Stegostoma tigrinum: one gene and its partners. The protein of the gene in region 2 purifies or fractionates together with the protein of the main gene of each other region. This does not show direct contact. Links are inferred from orthologs where the notes say so. Each region holds a gene or a part of one and is shown on either strand. Other genes may lie near its edges.

Region 1 (11,702 bases), on a different chromosome or scaffold from region 2:
TATGGCTGTGATACTTATAGGACATTGAGACTTTAAAAAATTGTTTTACAAGTGTAAGTTCTCTCTCACATGCAGCAAAAAACATGAAGATGGTTATGGGAGGCACAATCTCAATTTATCACTGAAAACAGATGTGTTTAATTTTGATCAATTTCAAGGAATAGGGCAGGTATAATAACATTGAAAAGATAGATAATTGATAAAAATGTAGAGAACATGCAGCAATACATTGTGATGGAACAAGGACAGAACAAATAAACAAATGCTAACACTTTTAAAAGAATATAAATTTAAAGACACACACATCTGCAACCCTAAAACAGCAAATTTAGAAAGCTCGTAGCAAGAAGCATGTGGAATCCTCTGATTTAAAAATGGTAGTAGACTACAAAAGCCAGCAGAAAATGCTAAATCTATAGAAATAAAGCCAGTTAGAATTGTCTATTTACTCTTTCTAAAGTGAGCAGCCAAAAGCTGTCAAAGCCACAGAGGGAATAAGAACATTACAAAATAGAGCAGGAGAAAGCTTGCCAAGTCTGCCCCACCATTCAACATAATCACGATGACCTAAGGTTTCAACTTCACTTTCTTGCCCACACCTGCAGCACCAAACAATTGCCCACCTCTTGTATTAAATATATTCAACCATGATACACCTATATCCCTCTGGAGTATGTGAATCTTTGGAATTCAATCTATTAAATGAGGAACTCTCTCATCTCAGTGCTAGATGATTGCCCTGTTTTGGAACTGTGACCCATGTTCTTGATTTCACAGCTGGGGGAGGAAACCCCGCATTGCCCATCTGAATCAACCCCTTAACAATCTTCTATGTTTCATTTTGATCACAGAGAACACAGGTTCCAATTTCCTCAGCCTCTCAAAAGTAGAATTGCTCCTGAGATGAGTGCAATCTTGTGAACATCCACTCTTCTGTCTCTAATGCAAATCTATCCTTTCTTATATATGGAGAGCAAACCAGCACCCAATATTCCAGACAAAGTCTCACCAAAGCCTTGTTCAATTGTAACAAGGGCTCATTACTCCTGTAGTCAATCCTCTTCCATTACAGGCCAACATGCTATTTATTCTCTTAATTGCTTGCTGTCCCACATTCTAAGATTTTATGTTGCCTGCATGGGTACACCAATGTCTTCAGAACATCAACTCTCAAGTTCTGCACCTATTGATAAGAGTGTTGATTTTCTATTCTCATCACCAAAGTGAATGATCTCACTTCACCATATCACCGTTGATAATTGTCCTTCAATTTGGGGATGTCAACTATCAATCAGAGTTGCAAGTTTCTGTTACAGGTCTTCATGTAATTAAACTGGCCAACTGTTGACCTGCAGATCTCTGATCACATGCAACAGGAGGTCCGAGGTGGTATGGGAATCCAGAGTACAGAAATTGCTTCCACTCACATTCCCTGCAGCTGCTGTGCCTCGTGATTAAGGCTTTTGGGATCAAAGCTTGATGGATCAGCTGGTGTCATTTTGCAAGACTGATAATGAAGTAGTCCCTATCATGAATATCAATGCTGCCACATATCAAGGAGAACTTTTCAGTAGCTCTGATTCACATTGTTTTTCCACCCTTGGAATACTGGCCATTCAAGGGTTGAGAACACAGGATCTGGCCAGGAAGACAGTTTTCAGACAAGTGGATAGTGTCCAGTCCACGACACACTCCTTCTGCCACCTTGTTGCTCACTCAATTAACTTGTCTGACTCACAGCTTCCATGATTGGAGATGCCAGTGTAGGCCTGGGATGGGCCAGGTCATAAAACACATGACACCAGGTTATAGTCCAACAGGTTTATTTGATAACACAAGCTTTTGGAATCTTACTACCTCTCTCACTAACATCTGAAGGAGGAGTAAGACTCCAAAAGCTTGTGTTTTTAAATAAACCTGTTGGACAATAACCTGGTATTGTGTGATTTTTGACCTTCGTAGCTTGCATTCACACATAGCTTTGACTCATGATACTACCTGGATACATTACTCAGTGTTGTCATCCAAATCATGAATATAGATTGGAAATAGCCAAGATCCTAGCACTGATCTTTGCACCACTCCACTAGTCATAGTCTGTAGACTTAAAATGTCGATTTACTCCCATGATCTGCTTACAGTATGTTACTGATTTTAAAAAAGCTGACTAATTGGAAGCAAACAGAAATAGTCAATGAATATCTTCTGGAAGAAAAGATTGTAGTGCAGTTCCCCATGGTTCAGTATTGGGACCCTTGCTCTTCCAGATATGTATTTGTGATCTAGTCTTTGGTGTGCAGGGGATAATACAAAACTTGGAAGCATTTTAAAACGTGAGGAACAGTGATAAATCATAGACAGATTCAAGGATGAATAGATTGCAGGTGATGCATTTTTATACGAAGAATATAAATACAGAATGGGTATAACTCTAAAAGATAGGCAGGAGCAGAGGGACCTGGATCTTAATGTGAGCATATAATTAACACTAAAGATCAGGTGGACAGCGCATTACTAAAGCATACAGTATCCTGAGTTTTATACCGGGTCACAGAGTACAAGGGTAAGGAGATGATCCTGAATTTGTATCAAAACACACAAAGCTGGATAAAGTTCTGGGGGTGACACTGGAGAAAGGGTACAAGAGATTTACAAGGATGAGACTTCAGTTACAAGGAAAGATTAGACAGCTTGGGAATGTTCCCCTTGGAAGGAATAAAGATAAAAGATCACAGAAGTTTTCATAATAGTGAGGGGTGCTGAATAAGTACATAGGGAGTAAATGTTTCCACTCAAAAGAATCAAGAATGCAAGGGTACGGATTTAAGGTGGATGACAAGATGAGAAGATGTGAGAAAAAAAACATTTTCAGGCAATGAGCTGGTCAGTCAGAATACACTGCCTGCAAGTGTGTTGGAGCCAGTTTCAATGAGGTATTCAAGAGTATGTTAGATGATTATTTAAGTTCTGAGGAAGGGTCACTGAACCTGAAACTAACTCTGTTTTCTCCTTCACAGATGCTGCCAGACCTGCTGAACTTTTCCAGCAACTTTGTTTTTGTTCCTTAAGTTTACACACAGTTTTAGAGGGATAAACAGAAATAAATTATTTCAAATGCTCAATGAGTTAATGGGTATAGATTTAAGATAATTTACAGTTGATGTAAGCAGACTATGCATATCTACATTGATAAAAGAAAGTGGATAAAGATTTTAATTAAAACTTGAGAGGGTATAGGGATAAATGGATAAATCTTTTTTGAAGTCCAAGATGGTCAAAATCACCTGTCATCTAGTAGGATTCAGAGTACAGTTAAAAAAGAATCAAAAATAAGACCATTCTCGCATCATTACGAGATCAAGCTCAGTGTGGACTTTTTGTATATTTCAATAATGCACAGTTTATTCTCTTAAAAAATTACGTTTACCTTTCCCAAGCGTTAAGTTAAAACGCATGACAGAAATCCAACTATAGTACAACGCTCCTCTCTCTCTCATCCGCATAGTAACACACGTTTGCATCTAAAAACCGAAAGAACTGCGGAAGCTGTAAATCCGGAACAAAAATAGTAGTTGCTGGAAATGCTCAGTTCGGACCAGAGGAAGGGTCAGCGGACCCGAAACGTTAACTGATTTTTTTTTCTTCTTCACAGATGCTACCAGACCTGCTGAGCTTTTCCAGCAACTTCTGTTTTTGTTCGCGACACTTTTGCATCTGTTTTCTTTCATTGTCGGCTTTGTCAAACCATCCAGCCTAGTTTACTTCCTCCAGTAATTTAGGAGTGAAGTGAGAACAATTACCCGACTCCTCTCATCTTGAGTGCTGCAAGTTAAAATCCGAGTGGGAAAGTACTACAGAGGCTTTACGTCCATTCGAAGCTGAACCACGGGAACAGCTGACAGTGATAACCCCACGCAGTCCTGATTTACTGTATTTATGAAAACAGCAAAGTATCGCCTTTATGGTTATATTTATAAAGTTCACGGGGGCGGGAGCGGAAGGTGGACGGAAGAGAACGAAAGACGGAAACTTTCCAAACGCGAGGGGAGCCCACAGCACAGCAAAGCTGGCAGCTAGAACACGGCCCGGTTTACAGCAGGTCACCCTTCCAACTTCAACCTGGGGCACTCCTCGTAGCCGAGTCCCAGGCTTGGATGAGGCCTCAATAGAGACAGGGTGGCCGCAAGCAACATCAAACTCCTCAGACCTCTGTAAGGCGCCACTTCAAACGATGAAAAACTTTTTTTTAAGAAAAGGAAGAAAAAACGTGAAGCAATAGCTTACCGGGTTCGCCGGCGGAATACATCCTCGTTTAAAGGGGAGGGAAGCAGCTGGCTGAGAAGAGATGGAGAGTTTCCCTTCCCCCCTCCCCCGTGTTTATGTAAAATTATAGTACAAACAGGAACAAAACAGCACTCATGAGGAAGAAAAACATTAATAATTCCCGATGGAGAGATGGGGGACATACGAGGAAGGATAGTGAAACGGGGACAGAAAACCCCGGGCCAGACACTTGACGGGCGGTGCAACGCGCAAGCGCAGGAGGCGGTCCCCAGCGCGCCGCCGTACGCCCGAACGTTACGCCTCCTCTCCCCCACCCCGCGACCGCAAACGCCTCGCGCCTCCCGCCTCCCGCGCGCGCGCCCGCCATTCGAGCCAGCGGAGGGCGCCAACGTGTAGCGCGCATGCGCCCTCGACAGGTCGGACCTCCAGTGCGGGTTGGGCATTCCACCCATGTGGTTGTGCGTTTTTGTAGTATGACAGTAACTGGGAGAGTGAATGTGAGTGTACGTGTCGAGAAACAGAGAGCTGTGGAGGCAAAATGCCTGTGTAACGTTGAAGGCTGAGCTGGGCAGATGCCCGATCAGGAGGGGAATCAAAGATCACGGGAAACAGCAGTGTTTGTGAGGAGAGACTGATCAGGCAGAGCAGGCTGGAGGGCTGTTTGGTTTTAAACACCTTTTGCCACTGCAGAATGCGCTTTTTTTGACATCAGTTAAAAACTTCCGATGAAGTTTGTGACCGCTTCGCAGAACATCTGCCTTCCGCTCAGAAAAAGAGACCCTGAACTACTTGTTGCCTGCCACTTTAAAGCACCACCGCGTTCCCTGGCCAACATCTCTTGTCTCTGGCTTGCTGGTGTGTATCAGCGAAGCTCAATGCAGAAGGACAACACCTCATTTTCCACTTGGGGACCCCTTGCAGCCTTCTGGACTCAATACCGAATTCAATAATTTTAGGACCTAAACTCTCCCATGTCCCAGACCCCCACCCCACACACCAGACCTTGTTACCATGGCATCACACACCACCTGCTATTAGTCATTATTCACCCTCCCAGCCTGATCATTATCAACTGTTGACTGTCCAACTGCTCCTCTCTCTTTGGGCTCTATTCTATCATTTGCTCCCTACCCCTTCCCCCGTCTCTTATTTTCTGCATATAAACTGCTGCTTTCCCAACCACCATCAGTTCTGAAAAAGGGCTACTGGACCCAAAGCATTAGCTCTGTTTTTTTCCTTCACAGATGTTGCCAGATCTGCTGAGCTTTTCCAGCAACTTTGTTTTTGTTCCTGATTCACGGCATCCGCAGTTCTTTCAGTTTTTAAAAACTTATGATGTTTTTTAAATTGCACCCGGGTGCGATTCCAGCCCCGGGCGACTGCCTGTATGGAGTTTGCGCGATCTCCCCATGTTTGCGTGGGTTTCCTCCGGGTGTTCCAGTTTCATTCCACAGTCCAGTGATTTGGAGGCTAGATGGATTGGCTGCAGTAAATTGCTCATAGTGTCCAGGGTAAGAAACGCAGGGATAGGGTAAGGGGTGGGTGTGGGTGGGATTCTCTGCGGAGGGTCGGTGTGGACTTGTTGTAACGAATGGTCTTCTTCCACACTTCAGGGATTCTCTGACTCTAAAAGATCTGTGAAGTCTTTGCAGAGAAAATACATATTGGAATTTTGACCTTCCTCAGAGCTCGCCTACAGTTGCAAAACCAAAGCATTTTCTACTCATAGTAGATAACTATTTACATACATTTTGAGGCAAGGACAGGATCTGATAACTGACCCATTTAATTTGGAAAAATGCAAAGTATTACATTTTGGTGAAACAAACAAAGACAAGACTTATGCAATCAAAAGTAGGGCCTTGAGCAGTGTTGGAGAGCGGAGAAACATAGGGGTTCAGATACATTATTCTTTGAAGTTTGCATCACATATAGATAAAGTGGTTAAGAAGGCATATATCACGTTTGCCATTATTGCTCAGACCTTCGAATATAGTAATCATATGTTATGTTGAGGTTACCCAGGGAGCAGTGAAGCCTCTTCTGGAGTACTGTGTCCAGTTCTGCTCATTCTATTATGGGAAGGATATTATTAAACTGGTCAAGGTTCAGAAGAGATCTGCCGCAATGTTGCCGGGAATGGAGGGTTTGAGTTATGAGAGGCTGGACAGTCTGGGATTTTTTTCACTGGAGTAGTAAGTTGAGAGGTGAACTGAGAGGTTTATAAAATAATGAGGAATATAGATAAGGTCAATGGATAAGGGTGGTGTATTTCAAGACTAGGAACTGTATTTTTTAGGTGAGAGGAAAAGGATTTTAAAAAGAGACAAGGCAAATTATTTACACTGGTTCGTGTGTGGAATGAACATCCAGAGGAAGTAGTGGATTCGGCAACAGTTTAAATGACAATTGTATAAGTACATGAATAAGAAGTGTATGGAGGAATATGGGCCAAGAGCAGGCAAAAGGGACAAGCTTAGTTTGGGATTATGGTCAGCTTGGACTGAAGGGTCTGTTTCTGTGCTGTAATACTCTATGACTCTAGATCCTTGTTGTACTTCAGCAGAAAGACCTTAGATGGTGCTCTTTCCTCACTGCTTTTTGGCAGCAGCTGCTCCAAGTTTTAGTGAGTCCCTCAGCGTGTAGTTCTGCACCTGGAAAGTGCCAGCCTGTAGCACTCTTTCGAGATCAACTCTTTACACTGCAAGGCTGACAGATTTCTTCCAGACCAGAGAACATCTTTCACAAGAGTTGATGTTTTCCAGGTGCGGTCAATACTTGTCTCAGTGCCCGTACAGCACGGAATTCTGCTACCCCCGCAGCTGCCTCAAGGACAGCAGTGGTGTCGGAGAGAGTCTGGGTGAAAATGAAGAATATGACTCTTAGTGCCCTTCTTGCCAGCAGCCAAGTTACAGTTTAGTGCTTGTTGCCAAGTTCTGGTGATGAGGCATTCAGCCAAATAGGTTTGACAGTCTGCTCTGGGAAACCACACAATAATGAGGTCAGGCCTATCATTTGTAACACCAGGGGCAGTTTGGACCTCAGTATGTAATAATACATGGTGTTTATTTACTGACGGTCCACGCACAGTTTGATGCAGAGCACATAAAGTTAGCCATGAGGATTAGGTTGGCATTGGGTATGTCCTTCTGCCAATCTGGAGCTTTGTACATGATGTCTGAATATGATCCATCTTTGATCTCCAGAGAAAGTGGCTCGGGTGACTGCAGTGGTCAAGGCTGGGAGAATGGGCCCGACCTGTGCCATGTGCAGCAACACCAAAATTACCTCGCACCTGATGACCAGGCTTTTACCTCCAGTAGAGAGAGAGGCTGGTGCTCCCATCTGCCTAGTTTCTACTTTTCCTTGGCAATATGCTCCTCCCAAGTTTTAGCACACGCCGTGGCCTAAATGAATGATATTCCCAACATCTTCAGGTGATCTGGCATGATGGTAAAGCGGATAAGGATCAGTTGATCCAGTTCCCAAAGAAAATGGCCTCACTCTTGCCTTGATTTACTTTGGCTCCTGATGCCAGTACAAAGTCATCCTTGTTCAGGGAGGCTTTCTACTGCCTCGAAGAGTCACCCCTCCCAGGCTTGAATCCATCTGGATGGACTCGGCAAAAGGCTCTGTGCAACACAAAAAAGGCAGGAGAGAGAGGAGCCCTGCCCAACTCCAGATATGATCAGGAAATCTTTTGATTCCCACCCATCAATTGAGACTGTGCTATTGATATTAAAAGAAAAAAGAACGGAACAGCACAGGAAAGGCCCTTCAGTCCACCGAGCCTGCGCCAACACATGAAGCCTTTCTAAACTAAAAACCATTGCCTCTATGCAGTCATATCCCATCAAGATTCTTCTTGAACATTGCTATCGTATCTATTTCTATCACCTCCATTCCCGGAACTTACCACCCTCAGTGTAAAGAACTTGCCCCTCACATCATCTTTAAATCTTCCCCCTTTTACCTGAAATCTATGTTATCTAGTAACTGACATTCCTACCCTGGAAAAAAAGACTTTGACTATGCATTCTATCCACACTTGTTATAATTTTGTTAACTTCTATCAGGTCATCCTTCAAGTGAAAACAAACCAATTTTGTCAAATCTCTCCTTGTAGTACCCTTCAAATCAGGCAACATGCTGGTAAAACTTTTCCATGCCCTCTCCAAAGCCTTTGAATTTGATGTATAGCAGTTGGATCCAATTGTGGATTTCTTCCCTAAAGCCCATTTTGGAGAGGACATTCCTGATGTAGATGTGCAATATCCTGTCAAAGGCTTTCTTTGGTTCTGTAAAGTAACATTTTGAGGAAATAAACAAACATTGGCGTTTGTCTGTGTCCAAACAAACCAAAGACATCTCTTACACATACAAGACCACATTTACATTCATTGAGGTATCAGGAGGGTGAGATAACTGAATGGACCTCCACTTACCTTCAGCAGGAAGACCTCAGAACAATGGCTTTATCCAGTGTGCCTTGGTGGCAGCTACACCAGGCTCCATTGCGGCCCTCAGCACATAGTCCTGGACCTTGGGAACATGCCAGCCTGCAACACTTGGTTGAGGTCAACTCCTTGTTCTGGAAGGCCAACAAGTTTCGGGCAGACCAAAGAACGTCTTTTACCGTTTTGATGGTCTGCCAGATGCAGTTAATGTTTGTCTCGATGTGTATCCTGGGGAACAGATCACAGAGCACAGACCTGCTGTGGACAAACCCTGTCAAAAACCACTGCATCTTTCTCTGGACACCCTTTGCAAAGGCACATTCCAGCAAGGGATATGTGACAGTCTAAGCACCGCCCCCTCCACCACATCTGCTTTGAGGGCAACATGCAGTGACACCAACCGACCTGGCTTACATGAAGGATATGATGGATAGTGCCCTTCTCACCACCAGCCAAGAAATTTCTTGGTGCTTGTTGGAAAGGTGATGAGGCATTCTGCTAAATGACTTTGACAGCCTGCTCAGGGAACCATGCGATAGGATACACTCTGTCTTTTTTCCTCAGGTGTCAAGGATGCTATATGCTGACCACTTCCTAATGGACATGTGGTCAAAGGTGGTTTTCTTTGGAAATTTCTCCACAAAGGACAGGTGATACGAAATGTTCCAACTATTTGAAGTATTGAACAGCAACAAGGCCAGTCCCATCCTTTGCAACACTGGGGACATGTAGAACCTCAGTATGTAGTGACGCTTGGTGTTTGCATACCAAGGGCCTACACACAGTTTGATGCAGTTGCACACAAAATTGACCATCAGGATGAGGGTGATGTTGGGTACATTCTTCCCTCCCCTTGTCCAGAGTTTTGTACATGGAGTCCCTGCAGACCTGGTCCATTTTAGACCTCCAGATGAAGTGGAAGATGGCTCAGGTGACTGCAGTAGTGCAGTGTGATGATGAAGGAGATGGTGGATTGCTCAGCCTAGTTCCCAAAGAATATGACCTCGTTCTTGCCTCGATTTACCTTTGCTCCCAAGGCCAGTTTGAACTGGTCACAGATGCTCCCCATCAGTAAGGTCATAGCTGGAGCTCTGTATATAGTTCTGATTGCCAAACCAGATGTGATAGTGTAGAGAAGATTCACCAGGGTATCGCTTTGAGCAATTCAGCTATGATGAGAGATCAGATAGGCTGGGTTGTCTTCCTCAGATCAGAAAAAGCCTAGGAGAGACTTGATGGAAGTGTACAAAATTATGAGGGGCATAAATAGGAAGAAACTTTTCTCTTTGTATCGAGATCAGTAATCGGGACAAAGGTCTAAGGTAAAGGGCAGGGGGTTTAAAGAGGATTTTGGATTTTATTTTTCACCTAGAGTGTTGTGGGTGAAACCAAATGCCTGAAAGGATGGAAGAGGCAGGAACCATCACAACACTTAAGAAATATTTAGATGATTACTTGAAGTACCATAGCATACAAGGCTACAGCCAAATACTGGAAAATGATAGATAGAGATAGGGGCTTGATGACTGATCTGGACATGATGGGCCAAAACGCTTCTTTTTGTGGTTCTGAAACTCTATTATGCCACTTTATATATGAGTTCTAGCTTATTACTACTGTAAGCAACGGCTCTGGGTTGAACCCCATAGGAACATATGTGGCCATTCAGCTCCTGGAGCCTGTACCAACATTAAATGAGATCATGGCTGATTTGTGACTGAACTCCATATACCTGCGTTTGGCCATAAACCCTAGTACCTATGCTAAACAAAAATAAATCTATCTCAGATTTAAAATTAGGAACGGATCTAGCATCAACTACTGATGTGGAAGAAAGTTCCAAACCTTACTATCCTTTGTATAACAAAGTTCTTTGCAACATTTCTCCTGAATGGCCTTGCCTTAATATTTTTTGACTATGTCCCTTGTTCTAGAATCTCCAATGACTGGAAATAGTTTATCTATCTACCCTGTCTTTTCCCGTTAATTTCAGATCACCCTGTAGCCTTCTAAATTCTAGAGAAGATCAGCCTAATTTGTTTAATCTGTCCTCATAACTTAACCTCTGAAGTCCAAGTATCATTTTTGTAAACCTACGTTGTACTTCCTCAAAGGCCAATATATCTGTCTTAAGGCATGGTGCACATCTCACTCTAGGAGTTATGGCTAACAATCACATGGATGTTCCATTGAGGAAGGGCTGTGCTGTCAGAGATGCTCCCTTTGAAATGTGGCACTAAATAGAGGCTCCATCTTCACTTGCTTAAACTAATGTAAAAGATCCTGTGGCATTGTTTCAAAGAACAAATGAGTTAACTGCTTCAGTGACAAAATGGTGGAGAATTTGGAGCTTTTGGTCCATGCAGGTGAAGTCTCAACAACAAAGGTCATCAAACATAGGGTGGCACGGTGGCTCAGGGATCAGCCCTGTTACCTCACAGCGCCGGGACCCAGGTTTGATTCTAGCCTTGAGCAACTCTCTATGCGGACTTTGCACATTCTTCCTGTGTATGAAGGTTTTCCTCCGGGTGCTCCAGTTTCCTCCTACTTTCAAAAGACGTGCAGATTAGGTCAATTGGCAATGCTAAATTGCCTGTAATGTTCAGGGATGTGCAGGCTAGGTTGATTAGCTATGGGGAATGCAGCGTTACAGGGGTAAAATAAGGGCATGAGTTTAGGTGGGATGCTCTTTGGAAGGCCACTGTGAACTTGATGGGCCAAATGGCTTGCTTCCATACTGTAGGGATTCTATGATTCAATAAAGGTCATAAAGTTCTGGGAAAGCTCAGTTGGTCTGGCAGCATCTGTGAAAAGGGAAACAGGGTTAATGTTTCAATCCAACCTGAATTGTGACTATATTGCGATCTGTGCACAGTGCCTGTAAGACGCTCTTATATGTCACTAGACCTGAAATGCACAGATACTGCCAGACCTGCAGAGATTTTCCAGCAATTTCTGTTT
Region 2 (10,580 bases):
TTGACCCCAGGCTAACTTTGATCAAGTATGGCACTAAGAAACACGCATAAATCTGAAGTCAGTGACTGGAGAGAAAAGAAACTTCTCCAGAGGTTATAGTCATACCTCTGACAAAGGAGCAATCATTGCAGGGGTTTGCTATATGAAACATCTTGTCTGACCCATTCTCAACTACTTCACTCATGATCTTTCCTCTGCTATAGGATAGAAGTAGATCTGTTTGCTCATTCCAGGGTGTATATCTGCTCAAAAGTTTCTAACCAAAAGCTGATAGCAGGAGTCAAATTACATCCAGCTTGGTGCTTGCATTCACACACATCAGATGAAAAGCATCTTTTCACTGTTGACCGGAAGTAAAACTGGACCAGACATATATTCATCAAGCGTATAGATAGGTACAGCTGCATCACTCAAGAATCTTGACATTGTCCATGCTATAACTTTATGGATGAACCTCAATGTCATTGGAATCAGTTTGCAAACCACTGGAACCAGGGCAGAATGGCTACTGTGCATCGCGGTTATATCACTAAAAGTACTTCAAAGTCACCCTGTATTCTTTACCATCTAAAAATGCAATGATTTTGTGATAATATTAACACTTACATGTTTCTCTCCAATTAACTTACCAGCCTCAACTGGATATGCATCAATGTTCTTTCATTGACACCAAATTAATTATCTGGAATTTTTTGATTTGATATCATCATTGGAACATTATTGTAACTTGCACTGATATTGTTAAGAAAAAATGCCCAACAATACAATTAAAAAGGCAATTTTCAGCATTGTACGCATCCCAAGAAAGGAAGGGAAACAAAAACATATGAATCTGGAACAGCATATTAACTTGTATTAAATCAACCTCATTATCTGGAGTGAAAGGAGGTTCAGTGGGCATCGTACATACTCTCCAGCGAATGATGTGCTGGGAGTGGGGTTAATTAAGCTACAACCGCAAGTACAGAGAAAACACACTCAGTTTCAATACATAGGAGCCTCGTCCTTACTTATAGAAAATAAAATCAAGCTAAAAAAGGTCTTAAGGAAAAGCAGCAGTAAAGAATGCTTTCTGTAACTATACCAGTACATTTGATCATCTGTAATAAATAAATTGAATACAAAGTTATCCGCTTATTTGCAATAGAATCATTAATTGGGAAACAGTACCTAATTGGCACTGACACAAAATAAATGCATCAATGCCCAGAAAAAATTCAAATTTGCTATAAAATGCAAAATGCCTCAGGGTATGCTGTTACAGAATTTACCCACACTGACATTTGCATTGAATTTTCACCAGCTGAGTTCAGATATAAAGGTTAGAATTATAGAATTAAACTTTAAAGACTCCCACACACAGAACTTGAAGATTAAGTAGCTACTTCAGTGTTTTGCTATATTTGATTCTCTAACCCTGTTTTTAACACAAAAGGTCAAGGCAAGAAAAATAAAATACTAATTTTATTGACTTTCCTAGAATTGGGCTATTTACAATTCTGACACAAGTAAATACTTGCTTTTCTGTGGACCAGTGAAGCATAGTCTGCAGGTCAATGATCATACTTTCAAGAAGGAGGGGTATATATCGAAAGCTCTGCAAGGTTTTCACCAGTTTCATTAAGGCATTCTTACTTCTGTCAATAGTAGCCTTATCAGAATCTGAAAAGGACGAAAGAACTGTTTTAGATTGCTGTCAGGGATGACTCAAGAGGACCTGAACCGCAGTGGCATTGGATAGGTGTTCTAGTGGCCACCTAAATTAAGTCTTGAACTCCTGTTCCCATCCAGAAATGAAACACAATGAGATGCAAATTTTCTCTGAAAAAAACCTTGATCTTGTTTGTTTCTCCACAGTCTCATTAACAAGGAGTCATAAAAAACATGAGTGCACTGTTCACCATTTCTTGAAATTTGCTTTGTGAATTTGTAATAGCAGTCCCAGAAGTTAGAAACCAAACTGGAAATGTTTCCAAAGTCAAATCTATTCTTTTTTTTCTGAGTACAAAGGCAGCACTGTGTAAATGCTATCTGCAGTGATGCTTATTAATTAATGCATCTGATTTCATCAGCCAGCTTCTCCTCACAATCAGCACCTGTCAGGTCATAGGAATCATAGCTGGTCTTCAGTGGAGCTAATTAATTTTTCTTTTAAAAATATTCACATCAAACAAGGTAACAAATAGAAAAGGGACTATCATACTTCCTGAGCAGCATAACAGAATTTAACATCACTCTGTTAAAAGAGCCAACTTATATTACGAGCTACATTAAATGAACTTTCTGCTTACCATAAAACAATCATACTGATTGATGAATGTATGTATTATACATTCATTCAATTTATTCCAACTGTTTTCTTTTAAAATGTGATTGGGAAATTGTACATAAAACATATGATTGGAGAACATGCATCAAGTCAGATTCGCTAATTTTACTTTTGCAAATATTTAACCTGGCATATATTGAATATTACAATTCTATTATATCAATTTTGAAGACAAAGGGACTAGGGTGGGTCTCTAGAGATGCCATTTCCGAAATATACAATGGCTAACTCGAAAGAAACATGATTCCTTTGCTACATAAGGTCAAACTTAACTAGTAGTGAGAAAGATCAAATTAAGGTTTATTCACTGTAATTATATTTCAAGGAAGTTGCTAGCAACCCTGTGCCTTTTGCAGTCAGAAAACTTGTGACCTGTAGAGGTTGGCTTTGCATCAGCTATGACAAATGATACTTCTTTGAAAAACTGCAGGATAAACCTTATGTGTATTCCTGCACACACAACTTAATTAGCACAACATTGAAACAATTGGCTCCATATCAGGTACGCAAACTATTGAAAACTTTCAAGACTAATGCGCTTTTATAAAAAAAGTGCTATTAGATCAGGCTGATATACTTTCATATTTACACATTGGAAGTAAACTAATTAGCTTGCCAAATTCTACACACCAAGATGATGGAGCATGACTGTCCATTTTGCTGGGCCCCAAACAACTGAACAGAGCCCCACTGACTGACATAGCAAAAACAAATGCTTTATTCACGCTTGTTCCCTCCTACAATAGTGATTTATTATTGCCACTGTATACAACCAGAATGGATAAACTCTGCATTTTAAATAAATAATATAAATATTGAATGAGGTATTCTGAGAATGTCTGTTGTATTTTCTCACAACACATCACTACAGCATCATGTGTTTGAAAACTGCTTAAAAATTATCTTTAATTTTGTTTAGCCATGGGAAATTATCAAAATCTACAAACTGAGTTCAGTTGTCAGTGTTAACAATCACTATTTAATGCATAGTTTCTTAGAAAAAGTTCCTCAGATTATATAGAAGACCAAGCCATTCTACCAAGTTCACACACCTCCAGATACTGTAGTGGTATCCCAATCCTGTGCTGGGCTCTAAAACAATCTAATCATGTAAGCCAGGTTAAAAGAAGGTTTGAGTGTTTTTATTCCTGCTCTTTAATTGCTGCCTATAAAAAGAATAAAACAAATTTGTCAATGCATGGAACAGCATCAGAACATCTACATTAAATTAACTCAAGTGCATTATTTATGCCAGCTTTATCATTCAAAATCATCAACATTTCTTCAGCTGGCAGTTTCTATTCTAATCTTCCTTTCCGCTTTATAATTGTCTGAAGCTACACTCTTCCCTGCTGGAAGATTAATTAGCCAGTTCCCCGTGCACAATATACCATACCTCTGAATGCTGTGGAATCTGGAATGATGCCAACTCTCTTATTACAATTCAGCTGGCTGCTGCTGTGAGAGGCTCAGTGCTCCCCTAACAACAGTTGCTGTGCCAACTTAACCCCAGCACTGGCTAACTTTCAAAAATCACAGGCCAGACAAACTTTGATTGGCATAATTACTCACAGTCATTAAGCGCAGTCGCATTACACATGCAAAACAGGCGAGTGGAGTGCACGCCGGCAGCTCGCATCAGTAAGACGAGCAGTTGTTCAACAGTGTACTGTAATGGAGAAGGCACTCGGCTCCTACCTAATGGATCTCAAATACTAAAGCGACAAAAAGCTTCAGCGCAGAATCTACTTAAAGAGCAGCATTGAGATCATCTGAGGAGGGTAACCTTGTCAGCCATGTTGGATGCAAGGCTTATGGCAAACACAGTAGGATACGTTAACCAGACAACGATTTTCCCACGGTCTTATTCTAAGTAATCAGTAATCAGCTCTTGAACATTTTTTTTCTACAGCTGCCATTAATGAAGACAAGACAAATCTGCATATTGCCATTCTTCATTGTGCTAACTTGGCAATGAGCCTACTGCTCGACTGAATAGCCAAACATAGGGCCTTGAGGTGAAAATGTGGAAACAGCTGAACGCTGCAAAACTGGTTCACTCAAAACGATGAAACAATTAACAACGGGTGGGAAAATTAGAAGCGAAAGCACGCGTAGACTGTTGAAACTCTCACTTTTGCTTTCTTTCTATATCTTCGACTTGGTCTCCGTGCGGGAAGGAATTTAGTAATCACAAACTGAGGTACAGATACAAAAATACTGTACAAAAAAAGTGGACTAAACAAAAACAAAAAAAAATGAGGCCAGGCTGAAATTCCTGCGCACTCTGCAACCATCACTAATTAATTAGCGCTAAATTACCTCACAGATCGGCCAGGCATCAGCTTCGTGAAGTTTATTCAGCTCAAGGCGACAAAATCGAAACAAAGCGAATAAAGAATATCCAGCAAGACCCAGGATTCAGCTGCTGGATATGAATCAGAATTTATGGGAGAATCTGCTGCATGTGAAAGCAGGTCATAAGCTCTGCAATACAGGCTGCAACAGCCAACTGCAAAATGAATACATCACACTCAAACAGGCTGACGCAGCCACAGCACACATCCTTACTTCACACCATCAAAATATTCGATGAAACACACTTGCGAAAATACTAATGATGTTGGCCATTTTATCACACTTTTAATTTTATGTACCATCGGGAAGCCCTTGCCTCCTTAAGCTTTTTGTTACCAACGCGACTATTTTCAAGGAAATCTAGTGACCCGCTATGAGTTGGAAATTTGCCTAACTTTGCTCCGAAACAATTGTACACTTGCAAATTAGCAATTACCATAGTTATGTCCAGGATTTGATTACTCCCAGCAGTGTCAAATTGTGCTTCTGTGAAAAAATGTTTTGTGCGTAATCCGCTCTGTACTGCAGCATATTTGTATACCTGTAGTATGCCAGCCTTGTACTGTGCTGAACGGTACGTTAATTAATCATGTGAAGCTACAAAGCACCACTTTGTAAATGAACGAGAGGGGACTCTTTTGTTTCTCCCACTGGAAGTTACAGTACAAACCTGGCAAATCTATGTGGCTAACCTAAAGGCAAGCAGATACTGTTAATGATTGTGCACAGAGCAAAATGAGACGTGATGCCATATGTCTCATTTTGTCAAGCCAGAAATGAGGAGAGATGCAGCAGCCATTTTATAAACAGAATAACACTAAACAATAAAGGGCTCTTAATGCAAACAATGCAAATTTAATTTTAAAAATCATATTTCAATGGTGATGTGCATGTTAGGACTTCTACAATTTTCTTAACAGCATCACTATTGGAAGGTGGTAAACAAATATAAATAGCAGTGATCTTCAAGCTGCTAAAAAAGGAAGCAATTTTGATTCACATCTCAATTATGTGGAATGAATTAAAAAATTAAATACTTACAAAAACACCCTGAATGGAATACAGTCATGCTGTTCTTATTCCAGTATTATGTTGTGACTTTAAATATTAGGAGCTTTTATATGGGAGAATATTAAAGGAAAATTTCATTGGTAAGGCACATACTAAATCTAAAATGTAGAAATTCAACATATAACTAAAAGAAATGAAATAATTTGTATTTAGCCATTTACTTCTAATTTGTCGTTTGGTCAATTTATTTAGTGCATTCAAACAACTTATTTAAATTTGATATATCTCAGAACATGCACTATTTCTAAATTTTCACACCACCTGATGTGTGCAAACCTGAAAAATCTAACTCATGCTTACCACAAATAAAATGAGCCAGTAGCTCACTCACTAATTCTTTATACTTCCTTTATTCTCTTGAACATTAAAAAATGACCATTTTCTGTTGACAAACCTCTACGATTAGCACTGATTAATTCTCAGAATCTGACAGGTTTCTTGTTCCTGCTGTTTAAATAACAAACCACCTTATGCCACTTCATTCCAAAAATCATTGAGGCAGTTGAGATCAGCTACATCCCTGCACAAAAGCAATGGATTCATTTTTTTCCCTAGGATTGGGAATTAGTTCATATTTCATGGATTGAAACATAGAAATGAATAGTTTGCTTGGGCATCTGTTAAGGAAACAAAACACTTCCCATTAGATGTTTATGCACTTTGAGCTTGTGATTTTGTCAAATTGGCGCACATACTAACACACACACACAAACACACACACACACACACACACACACACACACACACACACACACACACACACACACACACACACACACACAGGTATAATTTTGAACTTATATTGTGTCTCATCTGTGGTTTTTACATTTCCCCTTACACAAGACATAATATCCACACAGCCATCATTATCAATTATTCTGCCAGCACACATTAAAGATCTTACAAATTAATCTAGTTCATATTTTTCACAAACGCTCAAACAACCTGTCATTCTTTTTCAGTAAAGTACCAAAAGATATACTGTTACACCTTTATTTTGCTTATTTATCAGGGGCTTTTTCTTTTCAGATAATGTTAAAATTGAAAAATATACAGCTTCTGTTATGTTGGTCAGTCAACATCAGAAGCCATGCATTTACGGGAAAAAAAACTTACCAATGAAGTAGACTGAGTTTCCTCAGGCCTTTGGGGGCAGGTTGGATTGTTGGGAAAGTTTCAGAAATTGACTTTGCGATGGGATATGGATGTGACACCATCCTGCTCTGACTTTCCCTTGCTCACAATAATGGAGAGCAAGGGACACCCTTGAATCGGATGGGGAAGTAATTAAGAAATTTTAGAGAAATTGTAGAATAACCAATTATAAGGATCTTAAGCCTTGAATCTTGGATTTCCAACTGTAAAATCTGTGTTTTTTTTTTAAACTGTCAGCAACTCAGCAGGGTCAGCAAGATGAGCGCATAGCCTAAAGGCCTCCTTCAGTAAAACTGACAAGCTGGAAAGCCTTTGATTAGTTACTCTGAAGACCTCCAGCACTGGCCACTGAGAGACTGCTCAGTACTTCTTCAGGTCACTTATTCTCTGAGAGTGTGATTATTGCTTGATAGGTGATTGCCAACTGCATGGAGAGAGAGAAAAGAGAGAGTCAGTAGCACAAGCAGAGATGATGGGAACCAAGAGTAGTGGGAAGGAAATTAATTAAACCAGTCTTGGGAACTTTTACTTACTTGCAGAGGAAGCCAGAAGCTAAAAGAAACATACTCGAGTTTATAAACATGCAATAACAATATCAAATTGAGACATCATAAGAAAGCTGTGAGTTAATTGACTGGTGAATATTGCATCTATTGTTTGTCAGAAACTGGTCTTCCACTGGTAAAAGTATATGTCCAGTCACTGTTTACTTCTCCAAGGCTGAGCAGCAAAAGGCTATTTAAATTCTACCCAATCCAAGCCAGCAATAGATCAGGACCAAATTCATGTGAACTCAAGATGTTGATTTTGATCTGTATCTGCTGTATGCTTTTGAGTTTGTACTGAAGTGGGCCTCTCTGATTGTCACAATTGCACATGCACCGGAAGTCCTGGTGTTAATGACTGGGAGATTCCAAAAGCAGATCAGGTAAGATAGTGTCATGGACCAAATTATAGATTAGAAGTGAAAATGTTTTTGCATTATAAGAGTATTTTGCATCGCCCCAGCTTACAAAGCATTCTGTGCACTGACTTGTGCAGGTAGCTAGCGTGGCTTAACTTGGTCATCATCAGGCTGATCCTCAAATTCTCATTCAATGATGAGGTTCACTCCGCTCCTCACTCTGAGGGAGCATCAGGTTGTGCAAGACACACGATACCACAACAACAAGTGAGGCTCAAGCAGGAGAACATTATCGAACACCATCTGACTTGTCCAAACATCAATATCTCATTTTCAGTACACTCTATGTATTTAAAACTTTTATTAGGCTCAGTACCGGAGTCATGTACCATCTCTTCAGGGGATCTCCCTTGTTACCCATATGCCACCAAAGGTTCAGAACAAATAAGGTCCCTGGCACCTGGGAGCATCTCAGCATGTTAGCACGACATCTTCTAAGATATCGAGTGCACACCTTTTGACCATGATCACATCCAAGATGCTCATAAATGGAATGGTAGCATTTTCTGCTCAGGACTGTCCCTAGCTTTCCCAAAGGAGTTTTATTTGTCACCTATGTGCAATCTATGACTCCTTGTACTTTTGGATACCATACAATGTTAGCAAAGCCTCTGGTACCATCTGCTTGACTTGTGTTGTCAGTGCTAAATGAAATAAACTCATGGAGGCACGTGAACGCTGTATCTATGAAAAGCTTCATGTGATAATGAGTAGCTAGCTGCAGGATCCGAGAAAGGTCTCCAGGTAAAGACTTGAAGGAACTCAACATCAAAAAATTCAGGACTATTGTGACCTTCCACACCACAAGTACAGACAGTCCACGAACACAATTTGAGTCAATCTCCACAGCCAACATGCCACACAGAGATGTGACTGTTTCACTTCAAGGAGTCTCCTCTGCCATTGGCATTCTGACATTTTTAGGAGTATGTCACACATTGCTGGTACACTCTGTTGGTAGAATAGAGCCTTCTCCTCCCTCTGTCCTCCTGCTGCTGATGATGATTTTTTCCACAGGATCGTAATCAACTGTCAGTTCATTCCTCCTGAACCACAGTGTGAATCAGGCCCTGGCCTGTTCTCCCACTCATCTCCTCTGGACTGCAAGAGGAACCTCCTCCAGAATAGATAGTACTCTGAAGAACAACTGTATCCAGGTCCAGTACTGAGGTGCAGGAAATTCCCTTGACACCTCTCTTGATGCCTTTCCACAACAGTATGTCCTAGGTAAGGTTCAAAACAATTATTAAAATAACTTGCGACACTAGCAAATCCTTCCCACCTTCTCTGTAAGAGTCTTGTACTAAAGTCAGCCAAAATCCTGCTTGTAAACTTTCAAATGTCCTTGCAATGCCTCCTCATACTGGCACAACTCCTTTGTAATGTTTTGTCCATGCGCTAACTGAAAATGTTGAGGGCAACATTAAATTTGCATTTCACAAGGGTGATGCCAAACTGTAATGGTTGGAGTAATCCATACATTTCCTTTTGTGATCAAAGGGCTTGAAATTAAGCAGCAAGTGTGACCCTTTACAGGTAAGGTCCCAGAAGCTGCTGTCTGTGTGAATCTGCACGAAGCATTTGTCTCCACCTTTGGAGTGAGTGCATAAAGGAAAATAACATGTAAGTTTGTTGGATATTTGCATTGCTGATTTATATACAGAGCGCCCCCAATTTATGAACACTTGACTTACGAACACTTCGGCTTATGGATGCAATTTCAGTCAGGGATGTAGTTTTAAAGACCTGGAATAAGAATGTTTCTTCATACTATTGAACTATTATTTTGTATTGTCCTGCATTGTGTTCTCACATTTGTACAAGTTGATTTGTGAATTGTCTCCAGAATGGAATGTATTCACAACTCAGGGATGAATATCAGTTTTTATTTCATAGTTGGAGGAATAGCTATGCTCGTGAAAGAGCTCTGACCAGAAGGAAGAGTCTATCATCCAAATTTTAGTCTTGAAATGAACTAAAGTGAACAAAGGTAACACCGGTATAACATAGCAATAATGATTCTACATAAAGAAACAAAGGAAATTGTTAATAACTGGATCCATATGCCATAGGACTCATTACAGTAATAAGAGTACTGACATTTAATCTTCAAAACAGCTTCTGGAAGACAGGCTGCAGTTCTGTTATTTATGTAGACTCCAAAGGCCTATATGCAAATTAATAAGTGCTTTAATAGATTTTCTTCCTACTCAATTGATTCTACGTTGAACTTTGACGACATTCACTTTTTGTACAAATGGTTGCCTGGTGATTGTATAGGTCAAACAAGGTTGTTTTGACTTGGAGTTACTCAGGAGATCACACAAGAGGTTTCAATGCTCAGACATATTATAAGCACATTATAAATATGAGCTGTCTTGTGGGGAAAAATATAGTGAAGGTCTAATATTTGAAACTCATGTGTCTTACATTCATTACAAAAAGTTACTTTTGGAAAACAGTGATATTTACCTCATGCCTTACATACATAATATAAATTTTCAGAATATCTTTTCCATTGTGCCCTTTACCTCAACAATCCAGAAGATTTTGATGCAACTTGTTAATTTTGCAAGAATTAATAGAGCTTTAGTTAAGCAAATTCTAGACTCGCAGAATTGTTCCAGCATAGCAATTGATAATTCAATCCCTTTGTGTCTGAGCTGGTTCTCCACAGGAATAACTTTCCAATTGCTGATCAAC
Region 3 (10,779 bases), on a different chromosome or scaffold from region 2:
AGCACACAAGGAATTGCACAAACTAAAAGCAACACAAATTTATATATTCACTTGAAACAAAAACCACTAGCAGCCAACTTCAACTAAATGCATTAAAAGATGAGCATAAACAGCCATTTACAATGCCCTTGTTACCCAAGATGACCATTAAACAATTACTGTAAATGCCTCTAAACATTTCAAAGAATTAACCATGTGATAAGTCAATACTGCTTCTCCAAATTACACTTCACAAAACCCTCAATTTTTAAATACTGCAAGAAGTGTTAATCTTTCATTATTTTAAATGACAGTACTAATGTCAATGAAATGGGGACATGGAATCAACTCAAAAATGGCTAAGGAAATATTGTGCTGAAAGCAAGATACTGCCCTCCCTCAGCTGATGAATCAAATCTCCTCCATGTACACAAATACTTCAAAAAAGCACTCTGCATAGCAAGGGCACAATTTATTTTGCATTGGCGTTTTTCAATTCACATTACCAAGTGTTTGAAGAGAATAAAGGGTGTTGGGTCATTCTTAAGAGGGAATTCAGGATGGCAAAAAGGAGATATGACATAGCCTTAGCAGACAAGGGTAAGGAAAATTTAAAGAGATTCTACAAGTGCATTAAAAGCAAAAGAGCAACTAGGGAGAGAATAGGGCCCCTTAAAGATCAACAAAGTTGTCTATGTACTAAACCTCAGGAGCTGGGAGAGATACTAATTGGACATTTTGTGTCAGTTTCTATTGTAGAGGCTGGAGAAGTCAGGGAAATAAATATTGATGTTTTGAAAACAGTTCACATTACAGAAAAGGAAACGCTGGCAGTCTTAGAAAACATAAAAGGTAGATAAATCTCTTGGACCTGATCAAGTGTATCCCAAGACCTTGTGAGAAGTTAGGGAGAAATTGCAGAGCCTCTAGCAGAGACATCTGTATCATTTGAGAGGTGCCGGACGACTGCAGAGTGGCTAATGTTGTGCCTTTATTTAAGAAAAGCTGTCATGAGAAACCTAAGGACTATAAACCTGAGAGTCTGCCATTGACGATTGGTAAATTGCTGGAGGTGATTCTGAAAGACAGGATTTACATGCATTTGGAGAGGCAAGGACTGTGAGGGAAATAGTATCTCACAAACTTGATTGAGTTTTTTCAGGACCTAACCAAAGATATTGGTGAGGGCAGAGCTGTAGATGTTGTTTACATGGACTTTAGTAAAGCCGTTGACAAGGTTCCGCATGGTAGAAGAACTAGAAAATTAGATTATATGGGATTAAGGGTGAACTTGCCAAATAAATACAAGATGAGCTTGACATCAGATGAGACAGTGTGTGGTGAAGGGTGGTCGGGGGGGGAATACAATGTGGGGCTGGAGGAACACAGCAGGTCAGGTATCATCAGAGGCTCAGCAAAGTTGACTTCATCAGTACTGGGGAGGGGTAAGAGTGCTCGGAAATAAACGGGAGGTTGGGGTGGGGTTGGGGGAAGGTAGGTAGGATGTTGACAGATGGATGCAGGTAGGGGGAAGTGGAGATTGGTCAGTGGGAAGGGTGGGGCAGATAGGTGGGAAAGATGTGGACAGGTTGAGTCAGGTCAAGGAGGCGGGGATGAGGGGGAGGTTGGATATGGGATAAGGCCGGGGTGGGGCGATTTTGAAACTGGTGAATTCTGTGTTGAGGCTATTGGGCTGTAAATTCTGAAGGCAGAATATGAAGTACCGTTCCTCCAGTTTGCACGTGGCGTCATTGTGACACTGGAGGCGGCCCAGGAGGGGCAAGTCTCCAAGGTGGAGTAAAAGTGGCTGACAACTGGGAGGCGTTGTTGATTAGAACGTACAGAGAGCAGATGCTCCGCAAATCAGTCCCAGAGTCTGTGACTAGTCTCACCAACGTAGAGGAGACCACATTGGAAGCAGTAGATACAGTAGGCCAGGTTGGAATATGTACAGGTGAATCCCTGTCAGATTTGGAAAGACTGTCTGGGGCCCTGGATGGCAGTGAGAGGGGAGGTGTAGCACCTCCTGTGGTCACAGGGAAAAGTGAGAGGTGTGGTGAGGTTGGAGGAGTGTGTGGAGTGGACAAGGGAGTCACGGAGTGAGCGGTCCCTATGAAAGGCAGATAGAGGTGGGGAGGGAAATATCTCTTGGTGGTGGGGCCGGATTGCAGGTGGCAGAGGATTGGATGCTGGATGCAGAGGTTGATAGGCTGGCATGTGAATGGGGTGGTACAGCAGGTTGTTTTTCAGACTGGAGGCCCATCACCAGCAGTGTTCCACAGGGATCGGTGCTGGGTTCATTTTTGTTTATCATTTATTTAAAATGATTTGGATGAGGATTTAAGAGGCAAAAATTAGTGCTATAGTGGACAGTAAAGGTGATTATCTAAAATTACAAAGAGGTCTTGATCAATTGGATCAAGGGCTGTGGAGTGGTAGATGGAATTAATCTAGATAAATGTGAGGTATTACATTTTGGTAAAACAAGACTTACAAAATTATTAGTAGGGCTCTGGGTAGTGTTCTAGAACCGAGAAACATCAGGGTTTAGGTAAATAATTCTTTGAAATTTGCGTCACTTCAACAGTGGCTAAGCAGGCGTTTACCATGCTTGCCTTTATTGCTCAGACTTTTGAGTCCAGGAGTTGGGATATCATCTTGAGATTGTATAGGACATTGGTGAGGCCTCTTCTGGAATACTGTGTACAGTTCTGTCGCTCTGCTACATAAAGGATATGAAAACAACTCAAGGGTGCTGCCGGGAATGGAAGGCTTGAGTTATAAAGATAGGATGGGACCTTTATCCCCCATTGGAGGAGGTGGTGGTTGAGGGGCAACCTCAGAGGTTTATTAAGTCATGATGGGCATAGATAAGGTGAACAGCAAGGATCTTTTCCCTCTTGTGGAGGTGTTCAAAATTAGGGGGCATATTTTAACAGTGACAGGAGGAAGATTTAAAAAGGACGAGGGGAACTTTCTTTTTTAAACAGAGTAGCTCATACTTGAAGTCATGGATGCAGGTACAGTTACAATATTCATAGGACATTTGCTTAAGTACATGAATAGGAAAGATTTGAAGGGATATGGATCAAATGCAGGCAAGCATGAATAGTTTGTTTTGGGAAGGCAAACTGCGATAAAACAAAACTAAAGCTTACAAATCAAATAATCCTGCAACTGAAATATTACAAATTTGACTGACATCGCCAATGCATATAGCCCGTCAAGTTACTACCATCTCAGTCAAACCAAATAACTTTCACTGTATTAGATTTCAGCGTTGCATCCTTCACTTTTGCTCATTAAAAATCTCATCTTGGACTTATCCTCCACCATTTTTATTTTCTACTCTGGAACATCCTGCACTTCTAATTCTAGCATTTTATGGGAGCTTTTCCTAATTGCATCAGGCATCTGGGTCACAGAAGTAAATTTCCCCCTTACCACTGCATTGCCAAAATCCTTCATAGCATGTTTATGACCAAGCTTTTGGTCCCCCCACTGCTCAAGTCATTCTGTACAACTTATTTGTCAGAGCATTCTCTTCTGTTTGATTACACAACTGAAATAACTTAAGCATTTCTTATATATTTTTGATGTTGACGTACAGAACATTCTCTTGTATAACAGAAAAGGCCTAAGAAAAGAAAATCAGGTCAGTCAACAGCTGTGTTCCAGATATGGGCTTGAAACATTAATTGGCTGTCCTCTAGACTTATTGAGTATTTCCAGTATTTTGAGTTTCTTTTTGAGAGTTCGTGAATTAGTCTTGCTCTCTAGGCTTTTAATCATTTTGAATCTCTCTCCCCAATACTTGGTTTGCAACTACGAACCAGAGAGTTGATGCTGTTACGCACAGAAACTTACTGGGCAGATTCGTGAAATTCCTCATTCTAGCCCTGAGAAAACTACAGTCTTTAAAGAGGCTGAACTGTAGAAACAAGGTACAGAAAACCCACTTTTAGAAGGTCAGCAGACTACAGGCTTTCGATTCCATCTACTTCAAGTCTGGCTTCAACCTTTCCAGTAACCCGTCTATAAATATCTCCCCGGTTCCCTATTTCCTCTGGTTTTATGAGGGTTTGTGTCCATCTGGCCGCTACTGCCTTCGCCGCACTCAATCCCCATATCTATCCACCCGCCGTTTAAGGGCAGGTTCAAGCATCTTGTGGGATCCAGTGCAGCGGCTATTCATACCTGGGGTTCCGATTTCCATTCATGGAGCCCCTTCCTACACAGGCTTGGTTTTCAGCGGCCTCTTGACGGACAGTACCGGCCGGCGGGTGAACCGCTTCGATGTCGGAGGGATGGTCAGCCGGATCGGTGTAGATCTTTGCCTGGGGGGGGGGGGGGGGCGCTCCTCCCTAGCTGTAAAATACAGGCGGGGACTCTCGCTTTTACCAAACGGTGACGATCCCCTTAAGCGTGCAGGCTGGTTTCGGACTAAGAGGTATCTGCTCCTCGTGATCACTTGGGCCCCGCTCACACTCCACTTTATTTTCCACCGCTTTCGTCTTTTTCACTCTCCCTCGTCTACGGCGTTTCCCAACCGGAAAAATCGTCTTTTAACCGCCGGAAATGACGATTCCCGACCCTGGGTTAATTATTCCTACGTTTCTCGAGCAAACGTCACTACGGCAACGTGATCCTCTCCCTCCCGACATTTTGTAAACCGGTTTCTAGGGCAACGCAAGGTTTTACTTCCCCCACCCTGAGGATTATTTTTAAAGGTACAATTTTTGATTCTCTTTTGCCAGGCGGAGCCGCAACTGATTTCCTTTCAGGTCTCTCTTTTTTTTTGTTTAACTGATACGGCGAATAGTTTACATGTATTCTGCTTTGATTTCACGACCAAATTCTAGACTTAAAAACCTGTCTTTATTTTTGCAATGAATGTTCTTTCCAGTAACGCCCAGAACCGGCTATTCTCTTCGGGGCTTCTTTCGAGTTCAGATGGCTGTAATAAAGGGCCTCTCTGCCTTCTTCGTAGAGTTAGCAAAATGAGAACCCAGGACTACGAAGTCAGGTGCCCGGCGCAGCAGGAGCACTTGAATCGGTGAAAATGTTTCCCGAGGCTGAGCAATAAAAGTACGCGAGCAATTCGGTGCATCATCAAACTCGTTAGCGAGTGATTACCGACGATAGTTATTCAGCCAGTGTGATGAGATAGGTTTTAGGCAAGGCTCGGATCTTCAGTCGTATAAAATAAGAACAGATGTGATTTTGTCCTGCCAATAACAAATGGCCACTCTTTACTACACTTTCCTGGCATTCAAAAGCGTGTGGAGGATTAAGTAAATTACAGACTTGAAGGGGGAGGGTGTATGGCAAATTCTCGGGAACAGCTGGTATTCTTCTTGAAGCATCCGCATAATCTCAGGATGATAAGACGATACTGTCGTGTGCGTCCTTGCTTTAGGATCTTTATCCTTGCGCAGTAACGACATTGTATACCGTTTCTATATTTTTAGCTATTTTTTTAAAAAGTCTGAATACACTAAACATATTTTCTCTCTGCATAACCCACATGTTGAAGACTCGAGCCTTTTTCCAGAAGCCTCTCTGAAAACGGCCACTAGAGGGTGAGATGTGGACTTTGCTTTGACTTAGCCAATTGCTCTTGGCTGTACTGATCGTAGGTAAACTAGGAAGTATTCAAATAGCTGGGTTGTGAAAGGGCGCACTGCATTGCCAGCCTCCTTTCACCATCTCTTAGAAGTATTTATGTGGGTATGAGCCTTCTGCTTCACTTTGAGAGTTAGAAAAAGGCTTTTACTCAATCTTAAGAAATTAAAACAGCAATTTCATGAAACAAAGACAGGAAATGCCAGAAGTGATCAGGTCAGGCTGCTTCTTGGAGACTGCAACAAACCTAATATTTAAGATTACTACGTGTAGAGCTGGATGAACGGAGCAGGAAGACTGACGATTCGGGCCTAGATCCTCCTTCCGATGCTTCTTGGCCTGCTGTGTTCATCCAGCTTAATACCTTGTTATCTCATTCTCCAGCGTCTGCAGTTCCTACTATCTCTAATATTAAAGACTGACGGCCTTTTGATAGAACAACAAACTTTTCTAAAATTTTATTTCTTTTTTCCTTTTGGCTATTCAACCCAAGTTCAAGATATTTTAAATATTATCTTTATTTCAGAATCCTTCCTATTCATATACCCATGCAAATGCCTTTTTAAATGTTGTGATCGTACCAGCCTCCACCAATTCTTCTGGCAGCTCATTCCATGCGCACACCACCCTGTGTGTGGAAAAAGTGGCCTGTTTGGTCCCTTTTTTTTGTATCTTTTTCCCCTTTCACCTTAAACCTATGTCCTCTAGTTTTGGACTCTTTCTCCCCCCCCCAGGGAAAGACGTTGTCTATTTACCCTATCTATACTCATGCTTTTATAAACTGCTTTAAGGTCACCCCTTAGTCTACAATGTTCCAGGGAAAATAGCCCCAGTGGCTCTCCCTTTTGCTCAAACCTTCCAACCCTGGCAATTTCCTTGTAAATGTTTTCTGAACCATTTCTATTTTCACACCACCCTTCCTATAGGAGGAAGACCATAACTGCATGCAGTACTCCAAAAGTGGCCTAACTAATGTCCTCTACAGCCACAACATGACCACCCAACTCCAACACTCCATGCACTGACCAATAAAGGCAAGCGTACTAAATGCCTTCTTCACTATCCTTTCTACTTTGACTCTGCTTTCAAGGAACTATGTACCTGCTCTCCAAGGTCTCTCTGTTCAGTAACACTTCCCAGGACCTTACCATTAAGTGTATAAGTCCTGTCCTGATTTGCTTTCCAAAACTACAGCACCTCACGTTTATCTAAATTAAACTCCATCTGCCATTCCTTGGCCCATCCGCACAAGATCCCATTGTATCTTCACGGTCCACTACACTTCCAGTTTTAGTATCATCTGCAAACTTACTAACCATTCCTCCTGTATTCATGTCCAAAGCATTTTATTATCAAGTGTGACGCTTTGTTTTTGAGAAATTCAGGCAGATCATAGTAAGCAAGGATGTACAGGTGAGGTTGTAAAACGATTGAAGGCAACCAGGTTCCATTGCACAGGGTGCGTGCTAGGCAAGATCAACGTTAGCAAAATCAGCATTATTTGAGGTTAGAGAGTCCATTCGAGTCTATTAACGGCATATGCCAGAAGAAGCTGTTCCTGAACCTGGTGGTGTAAATATCCAGGCTTTTGAAGTTTCTGCCTGATGGAAGAGGATGTAGGATATCATTGTCAAGGTATGATCGGTCTTTAGCAGCTGTTCCATGCCAGTGAGCTGTGTAAATGGGGTCCAATTATATAAATGACAAATAGTAGTGGACCCAGCATCAATCCTTGTGGCATGCTGTTGGTCACAGGCCTCCAGTCTCAAAAACAATCCTCCACCAATACCCTGTCTTCTACCTTTGAGCCAGTTCTGTCCCCAAATGGCTAGTTCTCCTGCATTCCATGTGATCTAACCTTGCTAACCAGTCTACCTGTTGAAATTCTTATTGAAGTCAATATAAATCACATGCACTGCTCAGCCCTCATCAATTTTCTTCATATTTCTTCAAAAAAAAAACTCGGTCAAGTGGGTTGAACATAATTTTTGAAAGTACTTTAACCAAGCTGTATGTTATTTTCCACAGTGAGTTCTGCTCTGAAATGCTATTAACATAAAGATTACATTGTTTACAATGATCCATGATTAAAATTTTATTTCATCTGATTTGCGTGAGATTTTTCGGGTGAATGGACTATGCAAAAATTGTTTTTGCAGATGTTTGTTGGGGTTTCTTTAAAAATAAATCAGAACTAAAGCCGTGATTCTACTTCCTATGCCATCTTGTAACATTGGTATCTCATCATTTCATCAAAAATGCTAGAGAAAGATGATTGTTCAAAGCAGTGATCCCAGATTCAGAATGTCAATACAAGAACCGTCTCCTGCATCTCAATCTTCTGTCTGACCACTGGCATAGCAGGGCCAAGAATGACTTGGGTCAGTGTTTAAATCACTCTCCTTTTTTGATAAAGTCATCTGTGATTGTCTAAAACCAATACCATTGGTGCATGTAAGCTAACTGAAATGACACAAATCTTAGCTATGCTTTTGTGACCCTCAGAGCATCACTAATGACAAGCTTCTGTTCCTAAGAGGTCAGCATTAATTAAAAGTTGAACTACGTCAGTCTCAAACATTGGAGAAGGCAATAATTTCCATCCAAATGAGGTAACAGGGAGCTCTAGCCACTACTTAGTTAGTAGGTAAGATTCCTGTTTGTTGGATTAAATATCATCCCTTATGTCAATGCAAGCAAGATAGAGAGGTAATGTACTCTGCAATGAGTGGCTCATTGTACCCCTTACAAGTTTTATTCACTTTCTTTTATTCATTTACAGGTTATGGGTGTCACTGTCTATCTCTAATTGTCCTGAGAGTAAGTCAGACTAGGTAAGATGGCAGTTTTCTTCCCTAGAGGAAATTATTGAACCAGGTGGGTTTTTCCTGGCAATTGACAATGGTTTCATGGTCGTTATTTGATCACTAAGCAGCGAGATAAATATCCAGATATTTATTGAATTCAAATTTCACCTTCTGCCATAGCAGGATTCAAACCCGGGTCCCTGGCTTAATGGTCAATTGATAATACCACTAGGCCATCACCTCACCGTTTACAAGACTCAACTGATTCTTCACCGATCTGAATGGGTGTCATACCCACAAAGATGAGAGCAGAAGTTTGCTTAATTGGTATCCCTTTCCCTGGATTTAACATCCACCATGGCAGCAGCATATTAGGCATACAGGATGTAATATAGAAACTCAAGATATTAACCTCTACACCAGAGTTCCCTTAGGGCTCTGATCCTGACTTGGATGTATGTGTCAGAGACAGTAGGAACTGTCGATGCTGGAGAATCTGAGATAGCTAGGTGTAGAGCTGGATGAACACAGCAGGCCATGCAGCATCAGAGGAGCAGGAAAGTTGACGTTTCGGGCCTAGACCCTTCTTTAGAAAATCAGAAAAATCTAGGCCTGAAACATCAGCTTTCCTGCTCCTCTGATGCTGCTTGGCCTGCTGTGTTCATCCAGCTCTACACCTTATCTTGGCTACATATGTTGTTGTTCTTTCATTGTTATTGGATCAGACCACTGAATTATTTATCTGACAGCAATGTGGGATGAGCAGTTCTAAGAGAAGGCCCATCACCTCTTTAGGTACGTAGAAATCAGAAAATAGGTTTTTGCCAGTGTTGCGACTTTACAGAGCCTTTAATAATTCAGTCTGATTTAAACGCTTCCAGAACTCCTGTTTGCCAACTTACATAATCCTCGTTAGGGGATCTATCAAAATGGCAAAGAATATCAAATAAATATCAAATATCAAAGAATAATACAACTTGTCATACCATGTGATAGATTTTGGTTGGGTCAGAATAGAATGCAATTTCACTGGTAAATTCCAGAAATAATACTCTATAAACCTTCATAGGAATTGTCAGCTGTTTAAAAGGACAAGTGCTGTACTTGACACTGATCCCATAATAATGTATACTGAAAAACCCATCCACAATAAATCATTACAACACAGAAATAATCCAACCAGGTACATGCTGGCTTTAATTCTCCAGCCAAACCTTGCACCTTTCTTCATCTAATTCTATTGAGAGATCGTTTTATTTCTCTTTCTTCACATTTACTTGGGGAAGTAAATACATCTCTTGTACTACTACAACTTGGGATAGCATGTTTCACACCCTAAAAAATTACTGATAAATGAGATAAATAATTCCCTTTTAGATTCATAAGAATAGGATAGTCATTGTGTTCCTTAGTTCTGATCTCACCCCACAATTGAAGATATAATCTCTAGATTTACTCTATTGAACCCATTCATAGTTTTAAACTCCTCTCTATCGAATAGAGATAGCCCAGTATGGAACAACTGCAGACCCACAGCTAAAGGATTACAAGTTGGAACTTTTAACTTTATTTCTTATTTACTACTTTATACTGAGAACTGTGATGTTGCATTTTTAACTTGTTGCTTTTCGTACTTTCTACCTAAGATTCTGTACGTAAGTATCTAAGATGGTGCCATTGTAAAGATCACTGTATTCCAGTATTGCTGAACTTTAATATACATGACAATAAAACCTAATTCTAATTATCCCTGTATCTTTCTTCTACATAAGAGCACTAGACCCTTCACTATTTCCTGTTAGATATATAACCTCTCAACTTTGGTTGTATTCAAGTAAATATATTTCACACCTGCTGCAGTGTCTCTACACTTTTTGTAAAACATACACCAGAATCGTTTATAGTATGCTGAAGTATGGTCTAACAAAAGTTCTTTTGTAGAAGATTCTGCTTTTTATTTCCAACTTTCTAGAAATGATTTGATTTTGACTTCATTATTTACTTTTTTAAAAACTACCTATTGGTGTGGCTATTAAATGATTTGTGTATTAGTATTCTACAGATTCCTCTACTCCTTTACCCATCTTGGACTATTTTCTGAAGAGTTTGTGGTCTCTTTATATTTTTCCAATTACACATTCATTCTCCAAATCTACATTTTGTTACAGTGTCATCTTTATTAGCATGGCTGTAAGATTTGGTGTCACTTACAAATTTGAAATTCAAAAGATCCTTACAATGTGGATGCAGGCCATTGGCCTATTGAGTCCACACCAACTGTCTGAAAAGCATCCTTGCCCTGTAGCCCTGTGTTTCCCAAAGTTAATTCACTTAGGCTGCACATCTGTGGACACTATGGCCAATCCAT

The links. Proteins that work in one complex are often made in the same cells at the same time.
Region 1: the proteins of tnrc6c1 (region 2) and protein argonaute-2 purify together in Homo sapiens (co-immunoprecipitation; 6 studies listed by BioGRID and IntAct, with this or other methods). This does not show direct contact. The link is inferred for Stegostoma tigrinum from reciprocal best matches to the Homo sapiens genes TNRC6C and AGO2.
Region 3: the proteins of tnrc6c1 (region 2) and protein argonaute-3 purify together in Homo sapiens (affinity purification with mass spectrometry; 3 studies listed by BioGRID and IntAct, with this or other methods). This does not show direct contact. The link is inferred for Stegostoma tigrinum from reciprocal best matches to the Homo sapiens genes TNRC6C and AGO3.

The regions. Positions count from the first base shown.
Region 1 is NC_081358.1:112,177,255-112,188,956, reverse strand, and holds the start of protein argonaute-2, read right to left. Parts: upstream 4,537-11,702; 5' UTR 4,307-4,536; coding exon 4,285-4,306; intron 1-4,284.
Region 2 is NC_081375.1:33,585,634-33,596,213, forward strand, and holds the start of tnrc6c1 (trinucleotide repeat-containing gene 6C protein), read right to left. Parts: upstream 4,900-10,580; 5' UTR 4,652-4,899; intron 1,663-4,651; 5' UTR 1,521-1,662; intron 1-1,520. UniProt on the Homo sapiens protein: Plays a role in RNA-mediated gene silencing by micro-RNAs (miRNAs). Required for miRNA-dependent translational repression of complementary mRNAs by argonaute family proteins.
Region 3 is NC_081377.1:21,283,687-21,294,465, forward strand, and holds the start of protein argonaute-3, read right to left. Parts: upstream 4,537-10,779; 5' UTR 4,196-4,536; coding exon 4,177-4,195; intron 1-4,176.